Linked DNA regions of Struthio camelus. The protein of the gene in region 2 purifies or fractionates together with the protein of the main gene of each other region. This does not show direct contact. Links are inferred from orthologs where the notes say so. Each region holds a gene or a part of one and is shown on either strand. Other genes may lie near its edges.

Region 1 (7,666 bases), on a different chromosome or scaffold from region 2:
CTCAGTGTTGGATAATGGCCCAAATCACCCAGAGCCAGTATATAGGGCTGTGTGTTTGACCCCAGAGTGCGCATGCAAATCAAGGGTGTGAAAACGCTGGAAGAGTCTTTCCAGAGTTGTGGCAACAGCTTTTGTGACAGGCATTGTAGCAAAAAAGACGCAGAAGAAATGGCTTAAAGGCTTATAATTTGGATGCAGACAAAGTGCTCCAGCTCAGGAGCCTTTCTGGGATCTAGCAGAGCAATCTAGCAGAGCTGTGTAGATGTAGCTGAGGACCAGTGTCAGACGGGTTGGCATGTTGTTTGAGTAACGTGTTACCTTCTAGTTCCAGACTTAATTCTGCTTATTTATGGCATAGTAACTATTGAAATTGCCATTCCTGAAATCTGGAAGTGTATAATTTTCAAAAACAAACCCGACCATTGTGGGTTGTCTTGTCTGGACTTCTAAATAGTTGAGCTGTAAAGAGAAGAAGCCTGGGGAACAGCGTTGTGTCGGCCTGTGCTCCAAAACGCTGAGGCAGTTGCAATGCATGAGTGAATCGTGAAGACTTTTTTTCAAATTCAGAATAATTCTTGATAACAGAAGTAAACAGAAATCAAAAAAAGAAAAATGCACAAAACCCTATGCAGTTAAGTTACGCCAGAGCTCAAATACTTTGAAAAATCAACAACATCTGAAAGTAGTTTAGATAGTGCTTTTCCTTTGTTTGCATATGCATATAGCGCATTCAAAGAAGGATCTGTTTAATGCATTTAACGTATTTAACAGGTTTCAGCCAATTTAGAAGAGGAGATTAATTGCAGAAAGGTATTGCAAAGAACAGGTTAGTGCTGAACGTAAGGGTAAAAATAAAGTTAAGGAGAGAGGTTTTTAAACAAATAGAAAGTGAAGCTATCCAAATAAACAGTGAGTGATCTAAAGCTGAAAATTTGATTTCATAGTTTTCTCGAGCCAACTGAGCCTTCCGATTAATGGCTTATAAGGCAGTGGATTCAAATTGGACAATTGAAGTTATTACCATCCCTTGCTCTGTACTTACCTTCCTGCCTTGAGGGTTGGGAAATCCACACTATTAGTGAATCAGCTCCTGATTCCCTGCAATTTTCAACCCGCCTCCGAATCACTGAGTGAAGAGCTGAACCAACAGAACGAGTAGACTGACGGACAAAAGAAAAGAAGGAAAAAGTAGGAAAAAAAAAAGAGATGGAACTCTATACTTATGTGCATGAGCCCAAAACAATTGAATACCTACAAAAAGAGGAACCTGGGCAAGAAATGAGTTATACAAATACTTTCCTACACAGTTGAGTCAGTAGGAGGTCTTGCAGATGCTCTTAGGATTTAGTTTCATGCTACACTTAACCCAATCTAACCGTGGGCTGCAGCCAGAAGAGGAGGTATTTACTGCCCCTTTCCCTGCACAGGCTGTGCCACTACCTCTTTTGGAATGAGAACATGATGATCCCTTTCCTTGTCAACCTGCAATTACATTAGCGTTAACATAACATGAAATTTCAGCCTTCTAAAACAAGGACACAAGCAAGGAGTTGTGCCTATTTGCCACCTCATTTGGGACATGCTTCTTCCTCACTCTGCTGTCTGAGCAGTTTTATGTGCTAAGGCACTTCAGTGGAAGAGACAATTTCTTACAGTTTGGAATGCACAGACTTTTACCATTTGGATACTTTTATTGGGAGAAAAACAATAAAAGAGCATGCCCAGTGGCTCCAGGCAGCTTTGGCAAGATCGAAAGCTTCAGGGCTACGACTAAACAAACAAAACATATATTCAATGCAATGGGACTAACAAAGCTAGGACGTAAGTTTATACAACACCACATACAGGTAGATCTCAAGTAAGCTGCTTTTGAGCACTATCCTGATTACACAGCACTTTCTGGAATCATTTCTCATCTTTTCACTTTGTTGTCTGTAACATTACTGCGTGAGCAGCTTAGTCTGATACTAAGATGAAAAGTGTGTTGGAAAGTTCCTTTATCATTCTTCGTCTTCACTCCTCAGGGAAATTTCTAACATATATTTATTTTTTTAATTTAAAAATATATTTTTGCTGTGTTCATGGTAGAAAAAATAGAATATTTTCAAAATTGGGATTATATTGAAGCTGGTTCTGCCACTTTTACCTGAAGCCCGACGTTTAAAGGTATTTTGAAGTAATGACATACAAACAAAGATGAGGGGAAAGCATTCTCCTCCCCTCCGTCTTGCAGCTGTTAACATACTAGTAGAAGAGGCACTGAAAGGCCTCAGAGAGGCAAGCACAGAGAGGCTTGTGGGCTAGCAGTGCATGCTTCATGAGGTTCAGAGCACCCACAGTTGCTTCTGTATTCAAGATCAGGATTATACTTTCTGTCATTACAACAGAAGAGACCAGTGAAACAACATACAAATGAACAGGCTCTTGTGGATCAATGTGAAACATGAGCTTAAAGTATAGACCACTTTCCCAGGTATAGTCGCCAGCGTCCTGGCTTCCTCCTGCTTTTGATATCTAGCAAGAGCTGGAGATGGAAGAGTATCCGATGGTGTGAAAGAGGAACTTGAGCAAGACATTAGCTTATCTGCCACCATTTGCTCTCATGTTACCCTCCGGCTTTGGAAATTGTGCAATTACTTCCTATTCCATGGCTTTTACTGTCCCAAACAAAGCTTATGAGGGCTCTTGTCCCAGACCACGCTGCACCACAAATATTCTTTCATAATTACATTTCTTTTTCAGCCCATTCTCTGCCTCAGTCTTTTGAATTTTACTGGGAGGAGGCAGTGAATGGTATACATAATTTTGATGTATACAAAATAGAAAGCATTAACATTTTCATCAGAGTTGATCAATTGTTAAGTTGCTCCATGGAGAGATAATAATTCACAAAGATGCTATTGCTGACCACAAGAAAGTTGAAGACATATTTAGTGAGTCTGCTCATGAAGAAAATGAAAACACAGCAGAAAGTAAATAGAACAGCTTGCATAATGTTTACAGTCTCCTACACTGTTTACAGAATTTGCTTAATGATATGTATGCAAGAATAAAAATAATCACAGTATATTCTGTAGAGGTCTGCATGCAATAAATCCAGCCAGTGCAACTGTTTAGAAAAGCTCCAAGGTGGTAATGCCTCTTGAACCCAGAACACAGCATAGAGGGCCCTACGGGTCTCAGTGATGACCCTTCCTTATCTTACAGAGCAAAGAAGAGGCAAAGTCTTTTCCTGCCTCTTCAAAGACTCCTGACAGGGTCCTTCCAATGCTACTGATCCCTCAGGTGGTTTCTGAGGTGAGCGGAATGACTTCCCCATTCATATTTAATTTCTTTGCCCTTTTATTAAACATCATTACAATCTATGCATAACTTTCCTAAGATACCCAGATGCATATAAAACACCCAACTGCACACAGCCTAGTGTCTCCTATGAATTCTTATCCGATCATTAGGACAGCAAGGGGTAAGTTGTCTTGACCTCAGTAACTTTGTGCAGCACAGCCAGATGGGCAAAACTATTAAGTGCCATAGTCACTAAATCATTTCATCATGAAGCAAATCTGTGAACCCTTTTAGATTTCAATGCTGTAATAGTATCTGTATGCACAGTGACAAATCCAGAGGAAAAGCCAATCTTCCTTGCAAAACCAATGGATCATTTCATCCACACATGACCTATACAGTCGTAGACGTGAACTGGTATTTAGATTTTTTTTTTTAATTTAATTTTTTAAATTTGCGATTATCAGTTGGGAAACAGCACTAAAAGTTCAGGCAGGGGGGTTTGTTTGTTTAACTACCCTCTCTAACATGTTTCTTCAGCTGATACCTCCGCTCTTGCAAAGGCTAACGGACCTGCTAGTTCCTCTATAACCAGGAAACTCCCAGTGCGTTTGCGAGCAGACTCCCTGCCTGAAGGCGTCTGCCTTCCCGAGTCACTGACATCAGGAATGATACCAGAGGCCTGTCCCTCGTATAGTTTAACGTGCCACGAGCTGGATAAGAACCCCCGGGACTAGCCCTTCAGCAGCTCCTAGGTGCCCCAGCAGACCCGCTTGCCGCGGTCCTCTGCTGTTTCCGCTCTTTGCTGGTCCGTCCGCCTTTCCTTCCAGGGGGGCGGCACGCACCCGAGGCGGGAAGTCAGGCCGGGCTGCAACACGCAACCCCGGCCCAGCCGCCGCCAAGCAGCCCCAGGCACGGGGAAAGACCTTCCGGAGCAGCCCGAAATTACCACTGAAGCATCTTTACTGCTTGCAGCTATGGTTTCACCTTGTTTTAATTCCGCCCCAGCCACGTCAGCTTGGGTGCGGTAACATCACCGTTCTTCCGCCGCCGGCCGCAACAGGAAAACCCGGCGGGCGCCCAGTGGCGGGGGGCCGGCAGGACGGGCAGCGCCGCTCCCCCCCCCGCCGCCCCGGCCCCGGCCCCAACGGCCGCCGCCCCGGCCCCAACGGCCGCCGCCACTTCTGCGGCGGCCGGAAGTCCCTCCCGTCCCCTCCCCGCCCCTGGCGGAAGTGACGCGTGCTGCCGTGCCCTCCCCCCCTGGCGGCGGCGGCGGCGGCGGCGGCGGCTCGGGAGCCGGGCGCGGCTGGCGGCGGCCCGAGGCGCGGCGCGGCGGGCGGGATCATGGCGGACGGCGTGGACCACATCGACATCTACGCCGATGTGGGAGAGGAGTTCAACCAGGTACGCGCGGCCGCGCCGGGCCCCTCCCCTCCGCTCCGCGCCGCGCCGCCTGCAGGGCCCTCGGCGCCGCGGTGGGGCCGGGCCGGGCCGGGTCGGGCCTGGCGGCGCCATTGTTCGGCCGGCTCCGCGCTGAGGCTTTGCCGCGGCGGCCGGGCCCGATGGCGCCGTCGCTGTGCCCCTCGCCGCGCCGCGCGGATGGGGCTCGGCCGGCGCCGCGGCCAGGCCGCGTTTCGGGCCCGGCCCGCGGCGGGGACAGCAGGGGAAGGCAGGGCCGCGCCGCCGTCTCGGAGGGGAAGCGGGCGCCGAGCATGGAGGGAGGGAGGGAGCGGCTGCCTTCCCGCCCTCCCTCCGCCAGTGGCCGCGCAGCAGCGGAGCAAAATCCCGCTCCCGCCGCAAGAGGAGGAGGCCGTCAGAGACGGGACCCTCCCGGATGTGGTGGGGAGAGTGGCTCCCTCCCGGCGGCGGAGGGGAAATACTGCCATTGTTCGCCCATGAGTTTTTAAAAGAAAAAAAAAAAAAGAAGTCGCCGTGCGGGAGCCGTTTCTCGGCCGCTCTTTGCGGGGGAGGTTGAACTACTGCGGCTCTATTACGCAGGAGAGGAGAAACTGTCTTCTTTTCACTCTTTCTTCTCGCCTGCTCCTTAGAAAAGACATTACTTCCCTCCTCTACAGGAGGAGCTCCCTTTTGGTGAGGAAGTGGTGTTGGAATAAACAGGACTTCCCTGGCTTACAAGTAGCCGATTCCTCTGCTTCCTTTTTTCCTCGTATCTCTCCCAAAAAGTAACATTCCTACTTTCCCGCTGAAATCTGATGTTTGAATCAGATTTGCGTGCCATCTGTCGTGTTTGCAACCATGCCACTTCTCTAGGTTGTGTTGCCCCAGATTGCGTTGTTCCTGCCCTAGAACGTAAATAACCAAGCACGGCTTTGCTTCCACAGATTTACCAGGCTTACTGAGTGAGGCCCAGCGCTCTGCCTGCCTGCCTGCCCTACAGAGAACTGAGAGACAATAGGTTGTGGAAGTCGCAGTTAATTTGGATAGCAACTCATAAGTGTCTCAGGAAACTTGAATTCTTTAGGTATTTATTGATAAAGTAATTCAGAAGATTAGCAGTCTCACAAAGGTATACCATTTAGGAATGTTGGATCAGATGAGCAGACAAGGGAGAGAACTGAATTATTCTCTTAGTTTGCTCTTAGATTGTCTAGAGGTGAAGATTTCACTCTTACAATTGAAAGTTCATTATATGAAACTAAATTAGGGTAACCCAAGCACAAATACCATTTTATCGTAAGAGTACATCTGTTCAGTTTCTTTATTAACTTTTTTTTATCAGTTCCAAGTAGGATATTGATAGCTAATTAAGTAATTCAGAACAATTAATTGAATCCAGTAGTGCTGGTGTAAATTCACGAGTGCAGAAGCCCTCAAAGTTGAATAATTTATGGCTGCGAGTATAGTGCAGATAGATACTGCCAGAGCAAAACTGATGGGGATATTCTGTTTCGTGCAATATAACAACGTTCTCCTGGTCTGCTCAGATACTGGCTGATTTTGACATTCTCTGTAGCTGTGTTACTAGGGAGGATGATTTTACAGATGAAGAGAGTCTAGTGATAGTCTAGCTGATGCAGCAGTCAGGAACACCTTTTGGTCTTTTTGCTGCACCCACCCCTGTTGCCTTCCTGCTGGGGCTGTGTTTCTGCACTGTTACTTCCCCTGTTTGTGACTCTGGCAGAACACAGAGCAGAAGAATAAGAAGGAATTGGTGCCCCTTTTCCCTTAGCGTCTCTCTTTTATTTGCAAGATTTTGCTGCTTAGTCTTTTCAAAGTTTGATTTTCATGACTTGCATGTTGTCTCGGACCTGCTCGGTTGAACAGTATTACTTTAAAATAGAAAGCGATAGTGGGAGACATTGACACCTCTGCACTTTCCCCGTTTTGTTCTGTCAAGCATGAAGGAAGGCTGATTGTTGCTTTGTACAGTATTGCTTGCTGCCTCTAATTCTGACATTGTTGTGATGGGTCTTTTTAAAAACTGTTTCTGGTGATTTTTGATTTGAACCTTACAGCTTAAATTGATAAGACAGAGAGTTGACTAATGCTGTAGGGAGAAAGTGATTAGCATTATTAATCTGTTTACATAGCAAACGTTTTACAGGGTGCTGTATTTGTAAAGAAAGCTTGCTATATGTGTAAAGCAGTAAACGATTGTTCTTGGATTGGGTGGTGCTAGGTTAATTTGATTCATGAATACTCATTTGAGTTGGTCTACAGGAACCATTTCCACTAGTTTTGCCAGTAGCAGGGACTGAAAATACACTATTCTGGCTTTGTCATTCTTCTGAAGTGCAGAATAACTGTATTTTTACCCAGGCCAGGAAAAAACTTTTCCTTACATCCGTGGTGTTTCAAATAGGTCTGTAAGGACTTGTGATTGGATGAGTTTCCCTCCATTGCTTTGTCCTGTTCTGGGCATCAAGATGCTCCTCTTGGGTCTCTTCTGGGATTTTTATAGGCATCCTTCTAGGAGAAGGGATGTTCCGCTTGATTATTGCTATATGAGTCACAGGTAAGAAGGGTGAAATACAGACCAGAGAGCCCCAGGTTTACCAGCTGGCTAAACTGGATGAACGTGAGAACTGACGAGGGTGGTATTGGTGCTGGTTACCGTGATCTGGCTGGCGCAACTTGAAGTCAAATCTTTTTCCTTTAGTGAAAGCACATCCTTTCCATTCCATCTGGTGCTCATCAAAACTACATGCCTATGTTGCCTTTCACCTTTCATCAACTTGCCGTTCATCATATGTATATTCTTTATCCTTATGTTTACAGCTCTTAATCAATTTGGCTCCTACGGATTTTATTTATTTATTTATTATGCCTTCCTTTTTTCTTGTGCTCTTCTCTTTTGGAGAACTTAATTGAGTCATGCCATTTTTCATTGTCTTCCTCTAAGCTGGTTTCCCCATCCAGT
Region 2 (7,914 bases):
TCATACTTACCTCAACTGACTCGCCAAGATCTTCATGCTCTAGCTCTTTGTTATTTGTCTCTTTGGAAGGAGTAATGACCTTCAAGCTCGCTGGCAAGACTATCTTATCTGTCCCCAGGGCTTTTGCAGCATTAGCTTTTGCAATTTCCAGAAGCTCCCTCTTCTCTACAAGAGGGAGAGAGCGTCATTTTCTTGCATTTAGATCAGTATGTAGCTACTCTTACTAGCCTAGGAACTGCAGGTATACTAACACTGCACTTTTCTAAGTATCAACTCTGAACGATTGTGATCAGAACTTGTAAAGTTTCGCTTCAGTTTAAGGGCTAAGAACATATTCCAAGCTACCTAGTTATAAAAATATATAAAAAACTATATATAACTATGTGGAGATTTCTTCCACGTTGCCGTTATCAGTTTTGTTCTATAAAGCAAATCTAGAGATTAGAACTTGACCAGTTAGCATAAATAGTATATTGTTGAGTTTTCTCACATACAATGAAACTCTCACTAAAAAAGTACCTTTTTCACTCAAGTGCAGAGGTGATCTACTACGAGATCTCGTTCGTGACCTGCTTCTCCAGCTCCTGTAAGCCTCAGGATATACCGTTCGCCCAAATCCATAATATCTTCGGCCTCTTGAACGTGATCTGCTTCTTGAATAGGACCTTCTGTAACATGATCTTCCACGTGACCACGACCTGCTGCGTGATCTGTATCTTGGAGGAGAACGGTAGTACCGCCTGTAGTGTCTGGTACGGTACCTTCCTCGGTACCTCATGTAGCCACCACGTGATCTCGACCGGCTTCTGGAATATGATCGAGAATATCTTCCGTACCTTCGGCAACCATTTCTTCTACCCCACGATCGTGATCTGGATCTAGACCGGCTCCAGCTCCTTGAGGAAGCTGAAGAGGAACTGCTTGAACTGGACTGTGAACTGTAAGACGATCTGCTAGATGACCTTGTTGATGACCTATCACAACTTCTTCTGGATCTCAGACAAGATTCTCTTTTCTTAGGAGAGCTGAGGGTTAAGTCATCCATGAAGTTTGTCATGTCATCGGTCTTTCTAACCTTCATTTTCTCCATGCAGGTACTGGAAGTTGGCTCTGTTTTTATTGGTATTCTACAAAAGCCAGTTTCTGTTCCTGTTCAGAAAGGGGGGCCGGGAACAGAAATGAGGCAGCCAGGTCATTTATACAGCAGCCACAGACAAACGTTATGACAACCACTGGCAAACAGTTTAAGAGTAATCAAACACAATGACAATTCTCACCCAGTTTATCAGCATGTTTTACCTATGACAATTTTAGGTTTCATCATTTCCTCTCCTACGGCCAAGAGTCTTCTATATGAAAGAAAAAACAACTTCAGTTTAAACCATGAGTAATTCTCTGGGGTACTCTGAGAAGTTTGTGTGGGTTTTTAGTTTAATACCCTTCATTCAGTGTAAGCATACTTTTATGAAAAGGGTATGAATTCAGATTTTCTTAACAGAACTTTCAAGGCTGGGCCAGACTATTCTAAATATAGTTTACTACCAAGGTATCTCAGCTGCAGAAGTCATATGTCTTCAAGGTTAGCATAAAATCAAGTTTATTCCTGCAATTCTGTAGAGATGAAGTAGCTACTTCAAACACAAAAATATACATACGTATCTATATATCTCCAAGTTAGAAAAGTACCACTTCAAGATCTTGACTATTACGTTACTAAGTTATCTCTGAACAGTACTCCACGCACACTTTATACAGTATGCATAGCAAGCCACTGTTACAAAAGCTACTCTACACAATTTGTGAGAGATACAGCTAATGCCTTATTGGAGATGATTTATTAAGAATGAAACACTACCTGAGGTGATATATTAATAAATGAAATGGCTGCCCTCCTTTACTGGCAGCCATTTTACATATACAAAGGTTACTGCATCCTAGTTGTGTAACTATCCTATCTCAAGTTCTTAGTTATGCCACCGCTTTACAGTTCAAGAAAGCCCACTTCACGATAAAAGTCGTATTTGGTGCTCACTGTAAACAAGAGTTACCCAACCAGTCTTACAGCCTTCTTATCAAGAGCACCAAACAGCTCTATAACCTTCCACAAGAAGTATTCCCCTCACTACTACTAGAAGCAAGTTTCACTACCTCACCTCTAAACAAGTGCAAAGCTCACAACCATTGCACAGAACGCATTCCACACAAAACAGTTATTAATTCTGAGCTAACTCCCCATAACATACTAAGCTACCTAAACAGTAATATTTTCAACACTGTAGAGTATTGGAGCGTATCACAGATATCCTCATACAACCGTTCTGCACCTGCCAAATTGTGAACGGGCACCGACAAGGTGTAAGCGCTGCCCTCCGCGCACCTCTCTGCATGAACGCTGCTGGGGGAATTCAAGGGGACTCGATTTCGCTCTGGCACTTACCGCTGGGGGCTGCCGGACATCCCAGGTGCCGGTTCCCTGGGGGAACCTGGGCGTTCCTGTTACAAAGAGAGATATGTGGAGTCTGTTTGCCAGCCCCAGGGCTACCCTACACCCACTGTCCCCCGTCCCCTCCTGAAGCCGGCCCGCATTCCCCCTCCCTCCCCCCGGCAAGGAACAGGCGAGTAACGGCCGCCGCCGTCCCGCCGCCCCTAGCATCCCCGCCAACTCCTCCCGCCGGCACCGGCTCCGGGAGGGTGCCCAGCGCCCCCGCTCCGAGCCCGGGCCCCGCTGACTCACCGGCTCCAGGCAGCTGGGCCACCTCCCCACGGATCCTGCTCCTGTGGCGACGCCTGAGGCGACAGCCCCGCTTCGTGAGTCACCCCCATAGCGACCGGACGGACCCTTCCCCTCAGGAAACGAGCGGCGACGCAGCCCCACGGAGCCCTCCGACAGCGCAGCCCACGCAGCGCAGCGCAGCACCGTCCCCAACCGCTCCCGCCTCCCAGCAGCGACTGAGAGCGACTGAGAACGGCCGAGAAATTTCCAGAACCCCCCCCCCCGGCCCGCTCCCCGCTTGCGTAACGGGGAAGCCAAGGCGCATGCGCCGAAGGCCAACACCCGCCCACAGCGAGACTGGTGCGCGTGCGTATTGGCCGCGGTCGCCCCCGTCGCCTTTTTTCTTCTGGCGCATGCGCAGAAGGATGTGCCGGCTGCCTGCCTGGCCCTACTGGGCATGCGCGCAGCCGCTTGGTCTCATGACTCTCCCGGTGCGCATCAGCTGAGGGCCGCGCCTGCGCAGTGCGCGCGCTGGCGACGGTTGGTGCTGCGCGGCGGGGCCCGTTCCCTGGCGGCGGTTGGGGCTGCCGCGCGCGCCGGCGGGGCGCCGGCGACGGCCCTTCCCCCGCGCTGAGGTAAGCGGCGGCGGCGGGCAGCCCCTGCGGGGCGTGCGCGCTCCCCGGGCGGCACAGGCCGCTCGTCCCGTGCCTTCTCCCCCTCCCGCGGTGCCCGCGGCATCGCCGCGTGTCGCCCACCTCCGGCGCGGGCGTCCCGCCGCGGCGCCTCCCGTCTGCGCCTCAGCTCTGCGGCCGCCGCCTCGCCGGGGCCTTCCGGGGGGTGTTGGCGGCCAGGCGCTGTGCGGTATCGTTGCAGTGGAGGCTCACCGCCTCCAGTTGATGCGTGATAAATTTCCTCTTTGAAATAAAGGCTCCTATTTTTCTTTTCCAGTTCTTCGGAGAGCTGAAAAATGTCTGGCTTTCTTGAGAGCTTGAGGTGCTCGGAGTGCGTGGACTGGGGAGAAAAACGGAACACGATCGCTTCTGTTGCTGCAGGAGTGCTAGTGCGTACAGCCGCTTTCGTAGCCTACTGGGGCTTTTTTGCATGGAGTTAACTGCCAGTGAGCTGAAAATTAGGCGTTTGGAAGCAAAAGGAAGAAGGGGGGGGGGGTATATTGGCAGTGTACGTAGCAGCAGAGTTAGAGCCTACGCCTAGCTAGGCCTTTGCATCCAAAGAATGCTTTCCCAAACGAGGTTAGCTCTTCAAAAGAACAATCTTAGCTGTTCTATAATGTTTTCTGTAGAGACGTTTTAAAGACGCACTAGGAACTTTCTCAGCTTTTACCTGTATAACGTGCACTAACTCTCAGGAGGTATCTCGCTGGCTTTGCGTTTACTATTGTTCCTAATGAAGTTGATAGCAAACCTGGTTGTGCCTTAGTTGAATCTAGACTGGACTATAACAATGGTTTTATATATTAATGTTATTTTTGGTAGGGTACTCGTATACTGATAAAAAGGGTTATGTCTGTATTTTAAGCTCCTGTGGTTTTTTAAATAGTTTTTTACAGGTTGGTGGATAATCATAGATGCGGCTGTAAAATACCCTGAAGCGGAAGAATTCAACCATTCGTACCATGCTTGTGGGGTTATAGCCACTATTGCATTCCTAATGTAAGTGTAATTTCTTGATCAGAGCTACGCACTCCTAGAACTTAATCTGTGCAATTAATAAAAGAACACATAGACTTTAAAGTGAGAGGTAACAAAGAATAAAAAATCAAGTTAGTATCTAAAGCATCTCTAATATCTATCCTATTTTTTATATTTATAGGAAGGAACCATTTAAAAAAGTTAAGGGTGTGTTGTACAGATCCAAGTTTTATTAGTTTGTATCGGGAGAAATGACTTTTTCAAGTTTTACCCGTGTCCCCCTTTAAAAAAAAAAACTACAAAACATTTGTAAGAAAGAAAGCACCACCCGTTTTATATGGGTTTCTGAGAAGTTTCTCCTGTTGCTTATAAATGTTTACATCTTGTTTCACCAGTGCTACCTAGTTTGATCTTGTTTTGCTTAAACAGGATCAATGCAGTGTCTAACGGACAAGTTCGGGGTGACAGTTACAGTGAAGGCTGTCTAGGACAAACAGGTAAGGTGATTTTTAAAAAATTGCAAATTATAAAGCCTCTGAAACAAAAGCATGTTGAAAGTTACAAGTATCTGTACTCGGACACGGGCACAAAACATCCATACACAAAATGTCTTTTTTTAAGGTGCACGGATTTGGCTATTCATCGGTTTTATGATGGCTTTTGGATCTCTGATCGCTTCCATGTGGATCCTTTTTGGAGGCTATGTTGTCAAAGGTAAGACGCGATACGGAACGTGACCTGACGCATTTTTGATAATTTACTTCAAAGTATTTTAAATGTCTGTTGAACTTTAGAACTTGGTTTCAGATTGTTTCTGGGAAGGCCCATTTTTAATATTTTGGTTCCCTGAGCGCCCCTATTCCATACTATGTACTATTAGCGAAATTTCTATTCCTTAAGAAGGTTATTGTTAGTCTGCTTTCTATAGAAAAAGGCTGTTAATCAGCCTCATTAATCATATCACTGCCGTTTCCCATGTGGCCCAGAGTTGTGTTCTTAAACTGCTGAAGTTTATGGGAATAATTCCCTGTGTAAACACTTAATCCTAGAATAAAAATGATCTGAGTTAATGTACATTCATTCTTTTCAGCTTCTGCATTACTCAGTTCACGGGGAATTTTCAAGGAAATCTAGGTGTGTTACTTGCATAGTTGTGCTACTAAAGCGCACTCACATTTTGTATGTTGTCATTATATATAAATATATATGCATATATTTATACATGCACCCATGTGCCCTGTACAGGATGTGCAATCCCTCAGGATAATTACACTCTCTGAGATCACTGCATTTGAAATGTACGTTTTAGGTTAGAGTGCAGGAGAAGCTTCCTCTTGTGAAATAGCCCCTACATCCGTTTTAGAGTTGGAAAGCTAACTGCATAGGGGTGTGTGTGCAAAAGGTATTGAATTAACTTTCCAGTGTGGGTTAGCCTTATGCTTAGTCTTCTGTTTCACACCAGTTGGGACCATGGACCAATAGAGATTTGGGGGGGGGGGGGGGGGGTCATCTTGTTAGAGAATGAAAGACATATACCAGACACATAATGTTATCCAGTTCCAAGAAAGAACAATCCAGGTTAGGCAGATTTGTTATGTAGCAGCGCCAGTACTAAAAAATTGTTGGATTAGGTGCGGAACCTTGCTCATTTAACAAATACTGAATTTTAGAATATTTTTTACCATTTTTGCAAATGTATTTTCCTAGCATCTACACAAGTACCTGAAACATTACAGTTTTATAGTTTTTATTTTCCCTCATTATAGCTTTCAATTATTTTTAGTTTGCAACAATTTGCAATTGTCACTTCATCTCTGTATCTATTAGAGGGGTCAATTACAATATGATTTCCTATCAAATTCATTTCTGCGCAACTGCTTAACAACACGCAAGTCCTTTCCAAGTATTCTTTTTAAGTGAAACTTGTATCTTTGCTAATATAATACAATTTAGTGTTTCTGAATGTCAGAGACAGGCTAGTCTTGAAGAGAAAAAGGAATTCTGAAAAACTGATGGGATTTTTTTTTTTTTTTTTTTTTTTTTTTTAAGAAAAAGCAGTAGTATACCCAGGAATAGCTGTGTTTTTCCAGAATGCATTCATCTTTTTTGGGTAAGCCTGTTTTCCCTTGTTCATTTCTCATGTAAATTTATTTTTAACAATTAAAACTGAAACTTACTATAATTGATTTTCCTTAAGCCCTATTTTGTAACTAGATATGTGTGGACAGACTGCGGGTAGAGTCAGTAATGCCCTGGGTTCAGTCTACATAGGTTGCAGAATCAGGACGCAGATTTACAAGTACTGCAACTTGCTCCCTGAGATCGTATATCTAAAACATTAGGTGTTTAGTCTGCTCCCTTATGTACATATGTCTCTTTGTTCTGTTTTAAACAGAGGACTGGTCTTCAAATTTGGTCGCACGGAAGATTTGTGGCAATGAACACAGCTATGGAAGCGCATTGGCCCTGTCATTTTTTTAACTGCACACGCCCAAAATTTTGTAAAACTTGTTTTGTAAACAGTAACCTTCAATTGTGTCTAAAGATAAAAACAGGAAAATTTAAATCACAGTGCTAACAATTCTGCTTCTATTCTGTTTAAAATACTTTTTTTTTTACTCTTGTATGTTGATTTAAATGTTGTAATGTTTTTGACAAATGTAAAATTGATACAAGTAACAATGGAAGTCACTTTTATGATTATGAAGTTTGCTACAAGTAGTACAGTAGAGAAAGGTTGTATTTAACCAGCTATTTCTATGATGTTATTTGCAATCCCAAACTGTTACTAAAAATACTTTAAAACAACTTTTTAACATTTATTTATTAAATATTTCCTATATCTGGACACTAAACACTTCAATTTCAAAATTTACCTGTGTGTGGCTTTTCTTGCATAACATGGAATTATGCTGCTTTTTCCCCTTGAATATTTTCTTTGGCCTGTGGTGATATTGCGGAAGTCTCTGGACAGTTCAACTTTCTGTTGCTGTGGATGATGTTGTAGAGGCACAAATACGAATTACGTACCTGCGCTAGATGGAAGTAGCCCCTTCACAAAATTTGTTCTCAACTCTGTTTTAACCCCTGCAAAACAAGGGACTGATGCTCCTTCAGATGATAGCTAGAGCAGGGACAGTCATGATCAGGGAGAATTTTGATCCTGCAGCTCTTCCTCTATCTCACAGTTCAAGTGCATATGTTATCTACCTCTTCCTATATGTGTATTGGGGGGGCTAGTTGCTTAAGAAAGTGCTGACAAAAGAGATGCGACAGAGTGGGGGAAAGAGAAGGAATAAAATACTATTCCTTAAAAGCAGCACCACTGCTAGAAGTCATCAGAAGCAATTTGTGTTACAGAAGTTGTGTTCATTTGGTTACTAGAAAGCAAGAAACTGAAGTACACCATTTGAACCTGGATTTGAACATTACAACGTTAGTAGCATGTTAGGTGTGAGATAATGCAAACATACAAATGTGTATACAGGCTCAATGTCACGGTATCAGCTGTTGACATAATGGAACTATGGCATCTCCTTGGCAAGAAACTCT

The links.
Region 1: the proteins of RSRP1 (region 2) and CPSF6 purify together in Homo sapiens (affinity purification with mass spectrometry; 3 studies listed by BioGRID and IntAct, with this or other methods). This does not show direct contact. The link is inferred for Struthio camelus from reciprocal best matches to the Homo sapiens genes RSRP1 and CPSF6.

Annotation. Positions count from the first base shown.
Region 1 is NC_090942.1:40,603,090-40,610,755, forward strand, and holds the start of CPSF6 (cleavage and polyadenylation specificity factor subunit 6), read left to right. Parts: upstream 1-4,566; 5' UTR 4,567-4,629; coding exon 4,630-4,689; intron 4,690-7,666. UniProt on the Homo sapiens protein: Component of the cleavage factor Im (CFIm) complex that functions as an activator of the pre-mRNA 3'-end cleavage and polyadenylation processing required for the maturation of pre-mRNA into functional mRNAs.
Region 2 is NC_090964.1:7,464,708-7,472,621, reverse strand, and holds the start of RSRP1 (arginine/serine-rich protein 1), read right to left. Parts: upstream 3,048-7,914; 5' UTR 2,824-3,047; coding exon 2,735-2,823; intron 2,494-2,734; coding exon 2,438-2,493; intron 1,150-2,437; coding exon 520-1,149; intron 166-519; coding exon 11-165; intron 1-10. Other genes in the region: TMEM50A (transmembrane protein 50A), read left to right, coding at 3,681-3,773, 4,271-4,383, 4,792-4,859, 4,984-5,076, 6,412-6,472, 6,758-6,803.